Linked DNA regions of Xenopus tropicalis. The protein of the gene in region 2 interacts with the protein of the main gene of each other region in a pairwise test. Links are inferred from orthologs where the notes say so. Each region holds a gene or a part of one and is shown on either strand. Other genes may lie near its edges. The genes, in order: prtfdc1 and mcmbp.

The links.
Region 1: the proteins of mcmbp (region 2) and prtfdc1 interact in binary tests that used the Homo sapiens proteins (3 or more experiments, as listed by UniProt). The two-hybrid records come from large-scale screens. The link is inferred for Xenopus tropicalis from reciprocal best matches to the Homo sapiens genes MCMBP and PRTFDC1.

The regions. Positions count from the first base shown.
Region 1 is NC_030682.2:25,731,064-25,734,895, reverse strand, and holds part of prtfdc1 (phosphoribosyltransferase domain-containing protein 1), read right to left. Parts: intron 3,412-3,832; coding exon 3,305-3,411; intron 1,539-3,304; coding exon 1,355-1,538; intron 1-1,354. UniProt on the Homo sapiens protein: Has low, barely detectable phosphoribosyltransferase activity (in vitro). Binds GMP, IMP and alpha-D-5-phosphoribosyl 1-pyrophosphate (PRPP). Is not expected to contribute to purine metabolism or GMP salvage.
Region 2 is NC_030683.2:6,244,696-6,248,527, reverse strand, and holds part of mcmbp (mini-chromosome maintenance complex-binding protein), read right to left. Parts: coding exon 3,749-3,832; intron 3,308-3,748; coding exon of another isoform or gene 3,254-3,307; coding exon 3,113-3,253; intron 3,036-3,112; coding exon 2,994-3,035; intron 2,694-2,993; coding exon 2,592-2,693; intron 913-2,591; coding exon 813-912; intron 705-812; coding exon 553-704; intron 1-552. UniProt on the Homo sapiens protein: Associated component of the MCM complex that acts as a regulator of DNA replication.

The DNA.
Region 1 (3,832 bases), on a different chromosome or scaffold from region 2:
ATGTGTATCTCTGTAAGTCTTTCATTAGGCAAGCTACAAATATAGTAGTACTATTTAATAGTGTGCTTAATAGATTTTGACTTTCCTTGTCCTTTAACGTAATTTGGATCTCCTACCTTAAGGCTTCTAAAAAAATTATTTAAACCTTCAGTAATTTGAAACTTTCTGGATAAGGGGTCCGATACCTGTAGCAATAATAATAAAATTGTAGCCTCACAAAGCAATATTTTTTGACTGGCCCTCATCCGAAAAGTGAAAAAAAAGCTTAGAATTGGCAATTCTATAATATACTAAAAGTGAGCCATACCAAAAGTGAGCCACCCCTTTAAAAATTAGTTCCTCTAAAAGAAATATTTAACCTGTTTAACCTGTTCCTGACTGAGTTCCCAGCATTTATTTTCTGCTCTGGCCTGTTGGACCACACAGGGAGTGCATGGTGGCACTGACCCATACTATGCATTATAAGCCTTCAGCTCCAAGCCTTGATATGGTCTGCCCTTGCTCGTACTGGTACCAGTATGAGGCAAGTTAGCAAATCCCTAAATAGTGCGTTCATATAGTCCCTTTACAGCAGTTCCCCCTATGCCACCATTATGATCTGATCATTGGCCTGGATGGCCAGATCAGGTAAATATCTGCTCTATTGGCAACCTCATCAAACGACTGGATCTTCCATGATTTGCTACATTTAAGTCTGGGCACAGATATTGGGGCTTATTAACACTGGGTCAATTTGCCCATGGGCAGTAACCCATGGCAACCAATCAGTGAATGGATTTTTCCAGTCAGCTACAAGTAGAACAATAAATGCAACAATTTGATTGGTTGCTACAAGTTACTGCCCACGGGAAGATTTGCCCAATGTTGATAAATGAACCGTATGTATTTTGTTCTGTCTCCTGACACAAGCTTCTGTATTTATTGTGCTCAAAAACTTCTAAACAAACCCATGTTAAAACTGGACAGAAAATGGAGGCACGCAGAGTGGTCTAGTGAAGGGCTGTCCAACTGGAGGCCTGTGGGCTGGATGTGGCCCTTGGAGGGTTTTTAGGGCACTCAGTCAGCTTGAAGGCTCCATAGACTTCACTGTATGACATCATAGCTTTAATTCAATCCGGCACTCAAACATGCTGTATGAGAAATAACATTTCTGGAAAGTGCTGGTCTAGTGCAATTATGACAATTAAAGCAAACAACGTATAGTGTAATATGGATTATGATTTCCTTATTGCTTTTGAAAATGGCTAGACACCTTAGGAAATAAAAGCCCTCTGGAGAGAGCCTTGCTTAGCTACCTGGGGGATCAACTATCCAGCAGCAGGGAAAAGCTGTCACAAAGAGAGGGCAAACTTACACAGTAGCATTTCAGCCTGATGAAGTCCACTCTCATGGATATAAATCTTTCCGAGTTGCGACTCAGGTTTTTAATGTGCTCGACAAGGTCCGTACAGAACCGGTACCCTCCCTTCAGCACACACAATACTGTAATGTGGTTATCTCCAATGTCTCTCATGATATCATTAGCAATGCGCTCCGTCCTGCAAAACAGGTAAGCATTTTCATAAGACTCCCAATCCAATAGAAACCCAGAGGGGATCCAGTCATTATCAGCTGTTACATTAAGAGATTATTACTGGAAACGGTACATTGAATACTGGAAGCAGCAATAATGACCCATTATAAGAATAAGATAAAAGCACATTCCACTTACGAGTTCATGCAGGACAGAGCTCCAATGAGAGTCCCAAGAGAACACAAACAGAATGATTTTAATCATTAAACTGTAATACCGACAATAATACTGAAGAAATTAATTGGGCAGTCAGGACTCGTAGGGGTTTTTTTTCGGCAGAAAAGTATAGAAACTATTAATTATTTTTCATCACAGAAATATAAAGAGATATCTAATGTGGAACGGCTGGGGGGCACACAGGCGCGCTCCACAAATACAAGAAGCATGTATGGGTGTACAGGTGTCTTTTATGAATGTGGTTAATATGTACACAATTTTCCACCCAATGTAGCATGCTGCAGTTATGTTACTAAATGATGTTTTGGGTGCAACAACTTAGTTGTGGCATTTAAAAGCTGCAGATTACTTTCCAAACCTGGTTCACAATTACAAGGGATACTTAAGGCATTTTATTTTACTGTCAACTGGAAGATAATGATGATCCATGTCATTTATACATAGTCTAAGGGGCTGATTTACTAATCCACGAAACTGAATCCCGAATGGGAAAAAAATCGGATTGGAAACGAACATTTTGCGACTTTTTCGTAGCCGTTACGACTTGCGCAAATTGTCGTGACTTTTGCATAGCCATTATGATTTTCGTGAATTGTCGCGACTTTTGCATAGCCATTATGACTTTCGTGAATTGTCGCGACTTTTGCATAGCCATTATGACTTTCGTGAATTGTCGCAACTTTTGCATAGCCATTATGACTTTCGTGAATTGTTGCGACTTTTGCATAGCTATTATGACTTTCGTGAATTGTCGCGACTTTTGCATAGCCATTATGACTTTCGTGAATTGTCGCGACTTTTGCATAGCCATTACGACTTTCGCGAATTGTCGCGACTTTTTCATATTGAGCGCTCGAAAAAATCGCAAAATACCGATCATTACGAAAAAAACGCATTTGGACGCTTTTCGGACGTTCGTGGATTAGTACATGTGCCCCTAAATGTCAGTTGAGTTTCCACGTGTGGGATAAGCCTAAACGTGGCTATAAATGGACAGAGTTAGGCTGCTGATTCGGCCCCTTCAGATCGATTTTGCAGATAATCTGCCTCTCTATGGATACCTCTACCCGACCAATATCTGGCCAAAAAATCACAGCTGCATGTTGGCATTCATTCAAACTGCCTGCATAGAGACGGTCAAACCATTGGATCAGCCCCGTATTGCACACCAAAATGATATTCACGTGTATGGCCGGCTCTAGTCTTTTAATGTCAAATACAGTTGTTGCTAAGCCACTGGAACAGTGGCACAGGACCTCTTACTAAATGTGTGTTTGACCCTAGATATTCTGGGAACTAAGACTGACTGGCTGATGCACCAGTTGTCCAATATCTGTAAGCTTGTTAGGAACTAAGGGGGCCTGCTGACCAAATGCTGGTCCTCCATAGGTTCTTGAGCCGGACAACCAATGGTTCAAAATATATATATAAGAAAACATATCGCTCTTAAGGAAAGTAATATATATCTATATATGTGAAAAGAGGTATTAGGTTACATCTAAAAAGGGAACCCATATATACCACGGACACCCAACATTACGCAAGGAGCAATACCTGTCTACTATTACTCCATGAGGAATAAATACACATTCTAAATCTTCGCAGTAGTGATTGGGCAGTGAAAATACATCCAAGTCATATCCAGTCCAGTTATCTGGAATCTACAGAAAAAAAAGAAAAGCATATTACTATTATGAAAGTGTGTCCCTCATAGAAAAAGCAAGTAGTATGGCAGATAAATAATACACTTTAACTTGGACCTGGCTATAAGGCCAATGCGGGTGGCTGGATTCATCAATAAGTAAAGAGTAAAATAGAAACTACAGCTGTTCATGCCCTCTTAGGAAAGCTCAATGGGAAGTCCAACATCTCATACCATCTCAGGACAACACAAACTACATTTTTAGTGGAACTGCCCCTTCGTCAAGGTCCCCATTAAATTTTATACAGACAAATTTGAGAATAAAGTCATAGGGATGGGCTAAATGCTGTAGAGTTGATAGTTATTAAGTCAACACCTGCAGTAAATACTCTTTAAAGTCATATTTCCCCCATAACAGGAAATACAGGGGTGATACGTAC
Region 2 (3,832 bases):
CAGCCCCAATCCCACGTGCCCCTGGGGGGGGGGGGGGGAAATGGCAGAAATTACAATACAGCCCAGAGACAAGAGATGTGACTCCTGAGCTCTCTCCATGTATCATACAGAGCTGGGAGCTTGGCTGGCCAAGTATCATTTCATTGAGTATTAGCAGCTCTGCCACTTGCAGTACCATTTGTTACCTGTTGCTAGAAGGCAAATCAGTGCCACAGTATAGCGCCACCGGCTTGGGTTTTTGCCACTGGGCCCAGCAAATCAGTTCGGACTGGACACATGAATGGATAATCTGCTGCAGCAAAAACAGCAGCTGCTGCATTTCTATAGCCAGCAGCGCAATTATCTATCTCCTGCCTGGCCACAAGGTGGCAGTAGAACACAGAACTAGAGGGGAGGAGAGAAGCGCACAGGGCAAGAATGTGCATGGTACTCTATGGCTCCCTGTGCCCCACGTTGGTTGGTGGTGCCCAAGAGGGGGTGCAAGCGCCCTGCTATGCCCAAGAGGGGGTGCAAGCGCCCCGCTATGCCCAGGAGGGGGTGCAAGGCTGGTACCTTTATGAGGCAGGCGGGCCCTTTCTCACCAGGGAGAGGGAAGTTCAGGTCCGGGGCAGAAGAGCAGCTGGAAGGCAGGTGTTGCTGAGCCCCCGCAGCTTCAGTCTCCAGGCGTTTTGGTTCACCCAATCCATGGGAAGCACGAGTGTCACCTGTGTGGGGGGAGGGGGGGGAGATGAGAGAGGAATAAATGTGCCCACGTGATGAACCAATGGGGGGGGGTGTCTATTACAGCAGTGCTACAAAGTGAAGTTCCTTACATGGAGCAGCATCCTCATCTTCCTCGTAGCTCCTCTTCTGCCGGCTGGGGGCGTAGGAGGTGGAGGCGCACACCTTGGCCTGGCTGCAGCTGGTGTAGGCGTGAATCCCACGTTAAGGGTAAACCAATCACAAACTGAAGCATGGCAGGCCAAGTATGCCGATTGGCTGGCAGTGTGTTGGCTATATATTATAGTGAATAAAGTACCCCCTATTGTAATATATAGGGATATTATAAGCCCCCGAGGGGTTCCTTATAATATATAGTGAATAAAGTACCCCCTATTGTAATATATAGGGATATTATAAGCCCCGAGGGGTTCCTTATAATATATAGTGAATAAAGTGCCCCCTATTGTAACATATAGGGATATTATAAGCCCCCGAGGAGTTCCTTATAATATATAGTGAATAAAGTACCCCCTATTGTAACATATAGGGATATTATAAGTCACAGAGGAGTTCCTTATAATATATAGTGAATAAAGTGCCCCCTATTGTAACATATAGGGATATTATAAGTCACAGAGGAGTTCCTTATAATATATAGTGAATAAAGTGCCCCCTATTGTAACATATAGGGATATTATAAGCCCGAGGGGTTCCTTATAATATATAGTGAATAAAGTACCCCCTATTGTAATATATAGGGATATTATAAGCCCCGAGGGGTTCCTTATAATATATAGTGAATAAAGTGCCCCCTATTGTAACATATAGGGATATTATAAGCCCCCGAGGAGTTCCTTATAATATATAGTGAATAAAGTACCCCCTATTGTAAACATATAGGGATATTATAAGTCACAGAGGAGTTCCTTATAATATATAGTGAATAAAGTGCCCCCTATTGTAACATATAGGGATATTATAAGTCACAGAGGAGTTCCTTATAATATATAGTGAATAAAGTGCCCCCTATTGTAACATATAGGGATATTATAAGTCACAGAGGAGTTCCTTATAATATATAGTGAATAAAGTGCCCCCTATTGTAACATATAGGGATATTATAAGTCACAGAGGAGTTCCTTATAATATATAGTGAATAAAGTGCCCCCTATTGTAACATATAGGGATATTATAAGTCACAGAGGAGTTCCTTATAATATATAGTGAATAAAGTACCCCCTATTGTAACATATAGGGATATTATAAGCCCCCGAGGAGTTCCTTATAATATATAGTGAATAAAGTGCCCCCTATTGTAACATATAGGGATATTATAAGCCCCCGAGGAGTTCCTTATAATATATAGTGAATAAAGTACCCCCTATTGTAACATAGGGATATTATAAGTCAGAGGAGTTCCTTATAATATATAGTGAATAAAGTGCCCCCTATTGTAACATATAGGGATATTATAAGTCAGAGGAGTTCCTTATAATATATAGTGAATAAAGTGCCCCCTATTGTAACATATAGGGATATTATAAGCCCCCGAGGGGTTCCTTATAATATATAGTGAATAAAGTACCCCCTATTGTAACATATAGGGATATTATAAGTCAGAGGAGTTCCATGGCCATATAAAGGGATGAGGCCGAAGGCAAAGGTCATGGAACTCCTCGGCGACTTCTAATATCTTCATATTTTACAACAGGGGGTACTTTATTAGAATACACAAGTTTTAATGAATCGTGTCACAGAAATGACATCACTAAGCTCCAGATTATATCTAATGACATCACTAAGCACCATTTATAATATAATTTACAGTTTTGGTCCCATAGGGAAATCGCCAAACTGTATATTACACATAGAAAAAGAGAAAAGGATATATCCTTCACCCACGGGCACTCCCCTGGCACGGGCACACAGTAGAAGGTCTGTCTCTCGCAGGTTACATTGCGACGGGAGTCCGGATCCACTTCCTGCTGCGGCTGCAGAGAGAATGAGCAGTGCTGCAGAATTAGACCCTCACACCCCCAGCTCCTCCCACATACACACCCCCCCAGCTCCTCCCACATACACACACCCCCAGCTCCTCCCACATACACACCCCCCCACATACACACCCCCAGCTCCTCCCACATACACACCCCCAGCTCCTCCCACATACACCCCCCCCCAGCTCCTCCCACATACACACCCCCCATATAGGATTAAACTTAAAGTGGATTAAAGGGGAAGTACCCCTCAGGTAGGTACGTTTGCACAAAGGGAAAAAGAAGGAGACTCACCAGGCTTTCTGCCACATCCCTGTATTTGCCGAAATGCAGAACCTGCAATGAGTGACAGTTCTTAGAACCAATGGCAGTAGGCGAGATGGCAAAGCTGTGCCAGGCAGTGGGGTACTTACTCTGGCGCTGGTGTTGGTATCGACCGTTTCATAGACCCCCATGTAGAACTCCGGGTCGAACATGTCCTGCACCATGCAGCGGAACCGGACCAGGCTGTTGGGCTTCAGGTAATGCAGGGGGGTGTCATTGAGGCACGGCACCTTGGGCGGCCAATGGAAACAGGGGTGAATAGGGGCAATTGGTTTCCAACAATCCTGCTGGGCACAGGGGTATCATGATTTACCCTTCTCAAAGGGGTGGTTCACTTGTAATATGTCCGAGAATGGCCAATGCTAAGCAACTTTTTAATTGGTCTTTTTTTAATATAGTTTTTAAATGATTTGCCTCCTTCTAACTCTACCAAATGGGGGTCACTGACCCCGGCAGCCACAAACTATTGCTCTGTGAGGCTCCAGTTTTATTGTTATTCATTTTCTTTGTTTAGGTTCTATCCTATATCAGTGTCTCATTCAAGCCAATGCCTGGTCGCTAAGGTAATTTGGGCCCTAGCAACTAGATGAAATTCCAAACATGGAGAGTTGCTGAACAAAAAGTGGAATATTACTCTCTACATCAGTGACCCCCAACCAGTGGCTCAGGGGGGCAACATGTAATGGTGGGCAAGGGGCCGGTGTTGCTAAAGGAAGAGCACTTACGGCAGCGGCAGAGTCACTGTCCCGTAGCTTGGCACTGAAGTAGTCGGTAACGTTCTTCTGCCAGTCGCCATCTGCCGGTCTCTG